Mytilus edulis: one gene and its partner. The protein of the gene in region 1 interacts with the protein of each later gene in a biochemical or structural test. Links are inferred from orthologs where the notes say so. Each region holds a gene or a part of one and is shown on either strand. Other genes may lie near its edges.

The links.
Region 2: of the proteins of stress-activated protein kinase JNK-like (region 1) and transcription factor Jun-like, one has a biochemical effect on the other in vitro, tested with the Drosophila melanogaster proteins (2 studies listed by BioGRID). The link is inferred for Mytilus edulis from reciprocal best matches to the Drosophila melanogaster genes bsk and Jra.

What each region holds. Positions count from the first base shown.
Region 1 is NC_092352.1:12,133,371-12,141,316, forward strand, and holds the start of stress-activated protein kinase JNK-like, read left to right. Parts: upstream 1-4,943; 5' UTR 4,944-5,253; intron 5,254-7,946. UniProt on the Drosophila melanogaster protein: Mitogen-activated protein kinase and key component of the c-Jun N-terminal kinase (JNK) pathway which phosphorylate and activate transcription factors involved in a wide range of biological processes including response to various stresses, cellular proliferation, differentiation and migration, and regulation of cell shape.
Region 2 is NC_092344.1:111,934,014-111,940,352, forward strand, and holds transcription factor Jun-like, read left to right. Parts: upstream 1-4,080; 5' UTR 4,081-4,604; coding exon 4,605-5,480; 3' UTR 5,481-5,823; downstream 5,824-6,339.

The DNA of each region.
Region 1 (7,946 bases):
TTTAACCCCGCCGCAATTTTGCGCCTGTCCCAAGTCAGGAGCCTCTGGCCTTTGTTAGTCTTGTATGATTTTAAATTTTAGTTTCTTGTGTATAATTCGGAGTTTAGTATGACGTCCATTATCACTGTACTATTATGCATATTTTAGGGGCCAGCTGAAGGACACCTACGGGTGCGTGAATTCTCGCTACATTGAAGACCCATTGGTTGCCTTCGGCTGTTGTTTGCTCTATGGTCGGGTGGTTGTCGCTTTGACATATTCACCATTTCCTTTCTCAATTTTATGTACACCTCATAAACATTTTACGAAAAAATGTAGGTGTGAGAGTGTCCAACTCAATGTTCAATATAAAGTACATTTCAAATCAAAGAGATCTACAATATACATGTAACTCCTGCAAAAATAATAGATCTAACATGATTTACAAACTCATTTAAGACATTACCATGATAACTGATATAAACCTTTGATGTAAATTTCATAACAATCCTACAAGAAATGAAGGTTTGAGAAATCTTTGAATGCAATTAAGTAAATAATTTTCATTTTCAAGGGGAATAACTCTATTAAAAATAGTTAATTTGCACCGACTTTCAGAACAGAATTGAGGACAGAATTGTTCTATCCAAGAATAAGGGACTGGAACACACTAACACTCAACACCACCAGTGCATGTACATGTAGTCTTGAATGTTTTAGACCGAAGACAAGGATGTTTTACCTCACTTTTCATGCTTTTACTGTATATTAAGGAATATTTAATATGGGGACGAAGTCCCCTATTACAGTAGAAAATTCAATAAAAAAAAATTTTTTTTTAAATCGGGAAAAATTTCCTGAATTTTTCATTGTACTAATGACCCAAAATCGTTCAATTTTTTTTGTCGCCTTTTTGAATTTCCGGATCGGTGCAGAAATCTACTTCTGTTTCCGGTCTTGTTTGCATGAGACTTTGAATAAAATGTATTTTTATCAGTCTAAGAAAGGAACTAATACTAATTCATTTAAAAAAAAATGTTTGTTATTAAAAAAGGTTACCTGATGACAACGTTTCTTTGTTTACATTGAATATCATAACTTAAATAACGTCACAACTAAAATCTCTAACAACAGAACAAAAATCGGAAATGTTACGGTATTTCCGTCTCTTTTTAACATTGTTGATTTAAAAAAAAAATCATAGACTTCGTCCCCATTCACAGGTAATTCCTGCCTCATATTAGTAGAAGTATGGTACAATGTCAATGACAACAAAATATGAATAGTCTCACAAATTAAACAAATTGTCAAACATGCAAAATGCACTTGTTTAAACCGATAGTTTCAGGAGACCAACCAGTAGCATATGCCTTATAAGAATAATTGTATATTACTTGTAAGACTTTAAAGGGGATTCAATGTCCTACATATGATACAAACTCGAATTGTTATTATTTTTAGGGATAAAAATGAAAGTAATTCATAGAAGTTCGTGCACGGTGCAAGACAGTCAAATGTTTCGATATAATTTAATGTAAGAAATTGCTATGTTTACCTTCTGATGTTTTCTTTGAAGTCATTGCTTGGGATTGTTTAAAATCATTTTGATTTCAACTTTTCAACTTCCTACTTTTAGAAACAGGAAAGTAACTTCCTTTGTGCACACAAATCAATGACATCATCGAATTTGATTAGCTAAAAGATGTACTACAAATTCGATTATTTGTTCTATAAAAATCCTTTTCTTTCAAAATCAATGTTGAGGATTGAGGGTTAGATAGGTTCATGTACTTAATAAATTTTAAAAATGCATCATCCAAATGTATCTAAAAGTTTTAAGGTAAGGTCGAATGGGAACACGTTCGAAACTGATTGGCCGAACTGGCACTAACTATGGCCGGAATGACAGTGGCCGAAAAGTCTTGTAATAAACAGAAAATATCTTACATTTGTATATTGAAAAGGTATATAAGACTTTTTCATAAGTGAAGTTTATTTAGATTTTCCCAGGATTTTTCATAAATGGTTTGGAAATTATTATTACTACGAACAAGGATTTGTATTAGTCTTACTATACAAATCCTTGCTACGAATAAACCCAATCTGACTATAAAACCTTGAGGTCTATCGTAACGTATGTCTTCGCACTTATGACCGCTATAATATATGTCTCTGCTTATGATCATAACGAAATCAGAGACAGAACTTTTAATTAGATTAAATCAAAACGAAGTGTTGATCTGTTCCTGACTATGATTTCTTTAACACTTAGATTAAACATATCGTTTGAATTGTTTTTCATTGTCTTATCGGGGCCTTTTATAGCTCACTATGCAGTATATGGGCTTTGCTCATTGTTGAAGGCCGTACGGTGACCTATAGTTGTTAATGTCTGTGTCATTTTGGTCTTTTGTGGATAGTTGTCTCATTGGCAATCATACCACATCTTCTTTTTTTATATATATATATCCAAATTACAATATGTCTGAAATAAACAGTTAAGAAAGCATGTTCTTTATCATACAAATTACAGACAATCTGATATTAATGATATGATAAATATAAACAGATTGCGATCTCGTGCAATTGTATTTATCTAGGTTTGTTTGATTTCATGTTATCCATTAATTTAACTTATCGCATGTTTTATCATTCGAAAAAAATGGACCAAATCACTCGAAAAACTACGATCCTAGCAGGACACTATGCTTACCGTGCTATAGGATAATAAATTTAATTAACGGTTTTTACTGTCTAAGTCTAAGAATGATTTTTTTGTGGATCGAGTCAGTCAACGAAATGGTTCACCTTTGGTTCAGTTTAAATGTTGACATTCTTTTCCTTTAAGTTTAAATGGCTGAACACGACTTAATGCATGTGTAACCAATCTCTAGCTAATGGGTTAAATTGAAGGTCAAATGAATACAGATCATTAATGAGGTCGAATTATTCACTTGCTAGTGACAATTCATCAGCGATATTTCTTTGCCTATTTTGACAAAATTGTACTGAATTGGCTGCTAAAAACCAAGGATTACTATACAAATCCTTGTAAAAACGAATTATTATTTCATTATTTCACTTTTATTATTGTTGGACCAAACGAAATCATATCTATTTTTTTTTTATATCTCGTGCCATCATGTTTTTGTAATTTAGACAATTTTGATACATATATTTAATGAACTATTCAGAGACTTGCGTTCTCAACAGATTTCATTTACATATAGACAAATGTCTAAATTACTGTCTCTTTTTTCTCTTTTTTTCTTTGTTTTCATGTATTTCACCGATGATACTTGTGTACTGGATTTTATACTGAATACAATTAGTTCAATATATATAAGAGACATGTTTTATGTCTCTATCTATTTGGTTGTTTAAAAGTCGGTTCAAATGTTTTAATATCTGCTATTTATAATACATTCGGTTACCTTGCAGCACTCTTACATGTATATATTATTAAGGAGTCACTGCTGATGCTGATACAATACAACTTAACTTCACCAGCATAAGATAAACACCATTCAAATTAAGCACGTGTTTTTATGTACCCGAAATGGTTTTTTTTTCCAAAATGGGCTTAAATCATATTAAGCCTGCATTTTGTTTACAGACTACCAAGGATTTGTATAGTCTTACTAGAATCTTACTACAACCAATGAACTAATGAATTACGGCCGCTTTTTGCAAGGATTTGTACAGTAAGACTATAAAAATCCTTGCTTTTTGTAACGAAGAAATACTCTTATTTGTAGACTTGTTTGATTTGGATAATTATTGTCCACCCTTGTGTACAAACAAAAATACATCATCGATGAAGCAGGCTTGATTACAAGATATAAAGCACCTTTCAGTTTGTACTACAAACTTTGTAGCTATTTTCATATCTGTTGTCTTCGGCGGTTTCGTCGTCGACATTTAGGTTCAATGAGTGGTTAAAATTTTGTTAGCCCACTTTGTCAAATCTTCATAGCATTTAATGAAAATTTCGACAAATATTTTATTATTATAATTTATATAATCAAAAGACAGGCCTATCGGCCAGAGCAAAATTTTGACAGAAAACCTTTTTTTCGTTTGTCTTTTTTTAAAGTTAACTATTCGATACAGTCATGGTTACAAGTTTAAGTTGCCAGTCATCAATAACCTTTCCGCAAATCTTCAGGAAATTTGACGTCAGTTAGTAACGTTGCCGGGTGGTTCCAGGGGCGGATCCGTGAGAAATTTTCATAAGTGGGGGCCCACTGACTGACCTAAGAGGGGGCCCGCTCCAGTCACGTTTCAGTGATTCTCTATATAAGCAACCAATTTTTTTCCCAAAAAGGGGGGCGGGCCCCTTGCATGCCCCCCCCCCCTAAATCCGCCTCTGGGTTCTGAACAACGGAAAGAAGCTTTTTCGTGAGACACAATACCCAGAGCAAAAGTTTACAGATATATATTTTTTTTACGCATTTCACTGACTTAAAAGGTTTTTCAAACCTTCATAGATTTTTGGGAGTCCTCTATTCAAACCGACAGTTTTAAATTCTCATTCTTCAGGGCCCGCAAGCAATCTTGAAAGATTGGAATAAATTATCACCTGAAATTTCAAACAAAACTTCTACAGACAACTTTAAGGATGCACTTACCCATGAAGTACTCCTTTAAACATTTCTCACTTAAAATAAATGTACCTATTATTTTTATCTTAATTAAAAAAAAAAAAAAAAGTAAGAATTAAAAGTTCAATAAAAATTGTAAAGTTTAAAAGTTCAATAAAAATTGTAAAGTTTAAAAATAAAGAAAAAATGAAATTAACTTTAGAAAGCAACCTCAATAAGGCACGTGCCAGAAAGTAATCGTCAAAACATTGATGGTTCTGTAACTAAAAAAGAAGAATTACACGTCGCTTGCTCTATAGCTGTAGTCTCGGTCTATAGTAAATTTATTTGCACTCGGAGATGTTAGACCTATTTTAAAATATCGTCACTCGATTTACTTTTAGAATTTATAGTTCAAATCAAAATATGTTTTAATTTTTGTGAAAAATATTCAAGTAATTGAGCTTTTATATATAAAAATTGTAAAAAGATTTGTTAAAAAAATATGCAAAAAAGTATTCTCGTTTACGCGATAATTACATTTTCGCAAAATTCGATGACGTTTACAGCGAAATAGTCAACCTTACTTGGTCGATAAATTATTTTGATTCATCACCTGTGTTGTAGAAATAGAAACTGGATGATCATCTGAAGAAGAACTATAAGAGCATCAAATCAGAAATTATAACAGGTTAGAATAAAACAAATAAATGAAGACCTCCCTCAACGCGTTATGAAAAGTGTATTTATTTACCATAATAATTTACTTGACATTTGTAAAGAGTTCGATATGTTTATGTTATATGTATGTGCAGAGTAAATTCTGATAATTCGTTTGTATGGCAATGCATTTGGCTGTCCTCACATTAAAAAAACCTGACTTCATTTATGACACGAAATTACTGACATCGTTGTTCATCTCATATACAAAGTACAGTCTAACCACTTATTCATGTTATTAGACAGCATTATCGTGGTATTTATTTGTGTTTCAGGTTTGAAAAGATGGCTTGATAGTCATATAACTATTACCCTATTCAACTCGTTCAAATTTATGCATTTTGTGTCAATCCCGTTTCAATTTTCTTTTCTGCAGCAAATACACCAATAAACCTATGTTGTGAATGTGACTTTGTCTTCATGTCCGTAATGTCGCGAAACAGTGTTAATGTTGTTTCCCGTATTTTTGACTTTGTGTGATAGTGACGTGGGAGAGAGAGATGTGTTGCCGGATGGACAAGATGGCTGAATGTTTGTACTGTTGGAGTGTATGCCGTGTATTTTGTATTTTATGTAACGTCTGTATATACATATAGTGTGAATAAATCGTGACAGTTATTTTCTACAAAGATGGTGTTAAGTTATAAATTTATGAATGCTCGGAATTCTACGTTTACAACATTGGTGGCAGCGAACAGAAACAAATCTAGGCAAACAGATGATTTATATTTTTATACAGACGGAATGCTTTTAAAGAGGGGAGGAAATATGAAATCAAACAATGAAGGTACTTAAACAAATTTATTCGACAATACAATCTTGACCAAATGTATACGTTGCAACAGAAGGACGATGAGCCACTGGAATACGAAGATTCACCTTTTAAAAACTGATATTGGAAATTAAAACAGATTCGACCACATAATTCACAGAGAAGTATTTAATCGGCAAAAGTGGACGAAAATTAATTAAACATTTTTGTTCGGTGTAAGCATCAAGGATAAAATGACAATCTAAGGTGCAAATTGAAAGATATCAACATTGTCACGTTTATCTATAAATAATTGTTGTTTTATGTATGTCTATAACTTATATTTGTCAGCATTTTGATATATATTAACCATGAGCTGGTGTGACGTACCAGAGTTTGACGGTACTGAACTTTTTGAAGGTTTCTGGATGAAATTTTCTATCTTTGCTGAAGGTTTTAATTGGTCATCTAGTGATATGGCTTTTTATTTGGTTACTTCACTGAGAGGTAAAGCTTTAGAATATGTGTCGTATTTACCACACAGAGATCTTTATAATGTATCTGTTTTGTATTCTGCATTGAAAAGTCGATTTGGTGATATTGAGACTGCTCAGATTTGTAGAATGAAATTGAGAAATATAACTATGCTTACAAGTGAAAGCGTTCAAGAGTATGTATGTAGAACTGAGATAAATGTTGGGAAATCGTTTCCTGGTGTGAACGAAGATTTATTAGTGAAGCCCCGCATAGTATCTGTTTATTGGGTCTACATGTTTCGCCTAATCGATAGGCAATTGTCCTGATGATGCCTATCGATTAGGCGAAACATGTAGACCCAATAAACAGATACTATGTGTCGCAAAAATAAATTCAATGGGCCATTTTAAAAAATAATTAAAAATGGGCCATGTTGTCAAATGAGTAGGCCATTTGAATTAACTTCTGTAAAAAAAAAAGTATCAGTATATTTTGGCAAAGAGGTGTTGGTACTTACCTTTATGATTTTAAATAAACTCATGGATATTGATCCTGTGATTTTGTAACTTCTATTTCAATGAATATACAGTAACTTCTTCCAACCCGAACAATATTTAAGTTAACCTTTATTTACAATGTGTCGACAATAAAGACAACAACACTCATGTTTTTACCACATAGTATCTGTTTATTGGGTCTACATGTTTCGCCTAATCGATAGGCATCATCAGGACAATTGCCTATCGATTAGGCGAAACATGTAGACCCAATAAACAGATACTATGCGGTAAAAACATGAGTGTTGTTGTCTTTATTGTCGACACATTCTTTTTTTCAAGATGACTGGGAATACCTAGCGGTATCCACTCGTTTTTACCCTACCGCACGATCACCACTTCAGGTGTTGGTTCACTCGTATCTTTATTTACAATGTTTAAACTGGTACCATTTGACGATATCTAAGCGTTTCGAAATGAAGTGAAAAATATTGTGCCCAACTTGGCGCTTACATTTGTCACTGAATGCGCCATTTCTTGTCAATATGCGCTATAGATGCAAGGCGCACATCCTTCCTGATCACTGGTGTTCTGGTCTTCTCATGGCCAAATTGCAATTTTAAATGAGCAGTGAATAATTAGATATTGTTAAAAAAGCATTTCCCCACAACCTGTTATTTTTTCTTAGAAAGATACCAGGATAAAAAAATATGGTGTTACTGTATCGCGGTTATTTTCGCAGGGTGTAAATATTCACTTACTTTGGCGAATAGAACAAAATCGCCAAAATAAATTCCACCAATTTTATAATGCACATTGAAAAGTTTTGATTCTAATATGACGTGCTTCTTTAGCTTTGTAAAGAAACCATACTTTATTATCCAATAAAATTAGTTTGCACATGCGTATATTGATTACGGCAGAAAAATGAATTTCGTC
Region 2 (6,339 bases), on another chromosome or scaffold:
AAATTATTCATACACAAATTTTTACAATAGCTGCATAAATAAAGTTTTAGTAAAATCCTGCTTTGAATTCAAGGGTTCTAAGAGTCCATCTCATATTTTTTTAAGCAAACTTAAGTCTTTCACATTTTAACAGTCAATTAAGCTTATTAACTATAAGAGCAGTTAATATGCAGGGGCAGATCCAGCCGTTTAAAGAAAACACCAGGGGGATGGGTGTTCAAACTTTATTTCCCAATCAAATCGCATTATCAAAACAAAGAGGATGTTCCAACCCAAGAACCCCTATCCCCCCCTTATCCGCCACTGATATGTGTAGAAAACTGAAATGATAATGATGCAACATCACAACAACTATCGCTGGTGTATTATAAGTACTTCATCATAAAAGACATTCAACCCTCTCATTCAATAAAAAGAGAACCTAGTAAGTGGCTACCTAGTAAGTGGCTACCTAGTAGGTGGCTCAGTGGCCTTAGTAGTTCATATACTGTATCAGACTGTTATCACTGAGGTTGCAGGTTTCAAACCCCACACATGGCAGGTACATTCAACTCCAATATCAATTGACTAGGATTCCAGTTTTCCTGCCAAAAATTGGTGGTTCTCAAGTTTCTTTCTCCACCAATAAAAACAGACTGCCACAAAAAAAAAAACAGTACTGAAAGTGTTAAACACTGTATAATCAATCAATCAAATAAAAAACTTCACATTTCACATAGTTAAACTTACTTCTTGTTAATCAAACATGCAGCATACTAAAATAGACAAAGTTCAATTTTGTGATTGAGACCAAAATTTATGGATTATGATGCAAAATTATGGCTAATAGAGATTATAGTGTTTCAACAACTGTGACTTAGCCATTTCTTATAATACATAACTTATTATAAATATAGCTTTTTAACACAATGACAATACTAGCTTTTATTCTAATTAAAAATTCCAAAAAGGCAGGGGAATAAAAGAAAAAAAACAATAATAATCTTCATATAAAATAGTAGATTTTCAAACAAAAAAAAAAAATCACAATATATATATATAATAAAAACACTCAGGTCAGTCAGCCCCTCACCCCAAAAAATATTTCTGGATCCGCCACTGTTTTACAAACAAAATATGTATTATTGAAAAAAATTGCTGCTTGGAAATAGTTGGGTATAAATCTATATTTATGTATCTATATATATATGATTTATATAAGTATATCTATATATGGTTTATTTTTATCTTTTTGGACATTAAAATTTCATTTATATTAAAAATAACTATCTGTTATTGTTTATCATCTTATCATCCATACTATGATTAACAGACTATTTCGTAATTGGGGACAACTGTTATTTTATATTATCCTTAAATAAAACAATCATGTGATCGAAAATTTACAGACAATAGTAAGGTCATGTGATGGCCTGATGCCAATACACAAATCTGGAAAATCTCAAAATCATAAATTTCAAACCACCTGTCTATTCTTTCACAAAAGTTCAACCATAGATAACTTCAACTTTAGTTAGTAACCTTTATATTATCTTTTACTTAAAATATTAATTGATATATTTCATCAAATGTAGACCATCGTTTTCATTTTGATTTAATTCTCTAGAACCAGGCGCGGATCCAGCCATTTTAAAAAGGGGGGGTTCCCAACCCAGAGTAAAGGGGGGGGTCCAAATATATGCTCCCATTCAAATGCATTGATCGGCCAAAAAAAGAGGGGGTTCTAACCCCCGGAAACCCCCCCCCCCCCCTTCTGGATCCGCCACTGAGAACCAACCACCCCCTTTTTTCCTAAAAGAAAGTCATGAGAAGTTTTAAAAAGTTGATTTGTAGACCTCACTTAAAACAGACATTTGCATAAAAGTAGTAATAATTTAACTTGGAACACCTTGGTTCTATATATCTAAAAAAAAACAATATTTGTGTCAGTGTTTAAGAAGTTTTCAATGTTATTTTGTCAGGTCAATTGAACTAAAGTTCAATTTAAAAATTAAAAAAGGTCAAAATCTTTAAAATATTTTAATTGAACCTAAATCTAAATGTACTTTGTGCAAAACAATTAAATATCTTCATTTTTTTGTTTTAATGAAAACAATTTTGCAAGTTAATTTATATGTCAAATATGCTTATATTTAATGTTTTAACACATATTTAATAAAATAATTACATTTACTATCAATTCTTGATTTCTTTATCTTATACGAACAGTATACTTTAAAAACATTCAAATCTTTTTTTAGGAGAAAAACTAGAGAAAAACTAAATGCATAAAATATGTGATATTGCATTTTCTATTTTGATATGTTCCCTCACAGGTAAGCCATGGAAAAACAATAAACAAACACCTACTAACCTACTGTTGTGGTGAATCATCAGATAAATATAGAAAATCTACTCACAGTGGGAAATACCCATGCAATGCCAACACACAAAGTTCATTTGGAGGATTGTCAACAAACATGTTCAGACATCAACAGAGAAAAGGGGGGGATGTATTACTTTAAAAATTTAAATATTCAAAAGGTTTAAAAACGTTTTGGATTTTTAACTTGTTTAAAGACAACAACAAATTTTATTTCATTGGATTTAGGTATAATTTTTGGTATAAAAAAAGATTCACATATTAAAAAGCTATTCAAGTGAAATAGATAAAAATGTGAATCAAAATTTATAATTTTTTAGACACAGAGGGCATAATTTATTATTAAAAAATTTTAAGAAAAAATGCAGCCAACTAGGACTACAAATGTAACAATTATCATAATCCCTTTTTTCAATTTTTAGTCGTTAGGTAAAAGGCCAGAGGCGTATAAAAGTTGATACAGTGTAAATTGCAACCAGACAGCAACCATATGACACAAACTAAAAAAAATCTACAGTTCAACAAATATCCTTTAAAAATAGAAAGGTATAAATTTAAATATGCTTGCCACAGAAGGTTGAATAAATTATTCCATGACCAAATAATAGGTCTATCAAAAGCTACAAGTTTTCTTTTTGACACTGGTTGTAAAAATATTTTTATAAAGTTCTCCAAAATTTAGTAAAAAAGTGTATGTATTTGTAGGATTTGATAATGTCCCTAATGAAATAGTGTCCACGGGACATTATTTCCTAGTAAATACGGTCTCAGGACGATATTCACTTATTTATATGTGTCCTGGACACATTTTTCTATGAAAAACTGTCCTCCGGTATGAAAAAGTGTCCCTGAAAGTGGACACATTTAAAAATACTATATTTCAGTGATAAGATGTCCACCTTAGTATTCCTTACATGTACTTCCCTTGGAGGACATAATTTGTTAATAATAGTAGGATTTAATAATGTCCTCTATTTCATAACATTCTGTAGTCAAGTGGACACTATTTCATAGATATTGCTATGACAATCTGTCCACTTTGGGGACAATATTCCATGGCAATGGACATTATTTAATACCTAAATTCTAGGAAATAGTGTCCATGTGGACACTATTTCCCAGGACACTATTTTGCCTTACATATTCAGCTAAGATCTTTGCCACTAGATTATCTTTTTTGTGATGTACATGTATGAATTAATGAAGTGGTTCAATATTCAACCACCATAGATATACATGTAGGAAGGTGTGGTCCATTAATTAGAGAAGTTGTTGAACTTCTGGAAATAAAACTCCTATTGAATGGTTAGCTCCTTTGGAAGTTTAGGCTTTTTGAGCAATAGCTCTTATTTTGAAGTTGTTTTGTATGTAAAAAATAATTTATCAGATCACAGGCCATCTCTAATCTCCTATCTAATCTGAAACTTTAACTCCTCGCCATGGTCAAGCGTATTTAAAATAAATTCTAGTTCTTTGCTTTCGACTTCGTCTTTATCGACTTTCGTTACCTTTATTATTAGTCTCAAAACTTCCACGTGTTAATAGTGATGATTCATATTTGGAAATCCCCTTCTGAGAGCATGGTTTGGCGCCGAAAGTTTCAGTAACATGTGTTTGTTAAACCACTTTCAAAAAATATTTTAGGTTAGATTTTAGAGAATATTACGTTTATAATCTTCTTTAGAGTTTCTAAGGTAACGGTTACTCGCAATATCAAAACAGTTCTCAATAAAGTTTAAGAATTTAATGTTTTCCAAATATGGGTTGTAAATATCCTGACGTCACAGTCAATATTTCCTTTTACAGAAAGTGCCCTTTTCCAGAGTTCAAATCAAGTCACACCCGAGAGAATCGTCCAATCAAAATCAAAACATTTTCTCGAACCAACGATATCATTTTTAGGTTTAACCGATACATGAAAGAAAAAATGTCCGAGAACTCCGAAGGAACAATGACAACATAGTCGATGATCGCATTGAGAACCAATGAGAGCTATCCAAAGTGATGTCATGCTATATTTAGAAAACTGACTCATTTCATATAAAAAGGAGTGAAATACGTTGGACAAAGCATACGTCTTGAAAACTTACTACAGTGCAAGCCTCACACGAAAAGAAATATAGAGAGGTGACTCATATTTCCACCATTTTTACATCGACCTTCGTTGGGATTAGTCATCACAAGTTATCAACTGAAGTTGAAAAAGTTTTTAGACTTTATACTATAACAAACTTTTTAGACAATGGAAGTTTTGTCCGAGCGGACATTTTATCCAGAAGGGATCATGAACAAAGCCGGAGACCCAAACGTGAATAGTTTGAAAAGAAAGATGACATTAGACTTTAATTCATCAGGAAAAACAAAACAACAGAAGATCCAAAATCTGCTTGCTTCTCCTGATTTGAACATGCTGAAGTTGGCATCGCCAGAGTTAGAAAAGTTTATAATTCAAGCAAATGGATTTGTTACAACAACGCCGACACCAACACAATTCATATTTCCAAAATTCGTGACAGACGAACAGGAATCATTTGCTAAAGGATTTGTGGAGGCATTGAACAATCTTCATGGAAAAACAGGACAATGTTTAAAGGGTGAATCCTCTTCGGATTGTGAAAGCCAAAGTGACTCTGTGTCTAATGCCAGTTACACGTATGTACCTCCAGACTATGTTCTTACCTCAGCTACTACAACCCTCCCTGGTGGTTTATTCACAACTAACACATCTTCTGCAGGAAATCATTCAGTTAAATCTATGCCTTCCCAAAGAATCAGTTTATTACGACAGGATGAAGAACCACAGACCGTTCCTTCAATAGCAACTAGTACAACTGACAGTTTTTCAGTGTCGCCAATAAACATGGAAAATCAAGAAGTTATCAAACTTGAAAGAAAACGTGCCAGAAACCGTGTAGCTGCAAGAAAGTGCAGAACGCGTAAACTTGAAAGAATCTCCCGATTAGAAGATAGAGTAGATGACTTGAAAGGACAAAACTGTGATTTAACAGCAACAGCAAATTCTCTCAGGGACCAAGTCTGTAAACTAAAGAAAAAAATTATAGACCATGTGAACAGTGGCTGTCAAATCATGATTTCAAGTACAAATATATTCTCATAACATTTGAATGAAATGATCTGTGCCTTGACAATGTGTTCATAAGGATGTTTTATGTATAAGTGCCAATCACGTATTGTTTTTGCATGTTTTGATGATAATTTTGTTGCTGACATTCCGCAATTTTAACATTTTGTCTTCTGCAACAAAATTTCTATCTTGCATGTTTAAATGTGATAATTTCATTTAGTCATTATTTCTGAGGTTATCATGCAAATGTCATAATTTTATATATATATTATTTTCTACAAAACATCTCTGGTCTTTGTAAGCACCAGTGGATGCTGTTATTTATATTTTGAAAAAAAAAAAGAAAAAAACCATGAATAAAAAGTTAAAAATTTAATTTTCTTGTATGTCATGTTTGTAAATTAGAGTTATTCCCCTTACATTGTAAAACATAATACAGGTTTACAGAGGTATGGATGCCAATGCAACGAGACTACAAACACAAACAAAAACATATCTACAGGTCTACTTGTAAATGTCTTGTGTGCTCTGTTGTTACAAGTATGGTTTCTACATTTTCTACCTCTAAAGTTACTTTGGTTTTGCTTTTGTAGGGTTTTGATACTTTTGTTTATGTACAAAATGTATGGTATTGAAACAAAATAATCTAATCATACTCATGTTTGTCTTGAATGTTCATAGACTATTTTGCTTCTGGTTTAAGGGACCACCAGATTTCTGAATTTCTTGTGAAAAGATGTACCTAAAACTATCAAAATGTAAAACAACAAAAATACAGAGTTTGAACTCTAAGGAAATTTCAGAACAGAAAGTCTGTAATATCAAATGACAAAATCTAAAGCTCAAACACATCAAATGAATGGATAACATCTGTCATATTCCTGACCTGCAT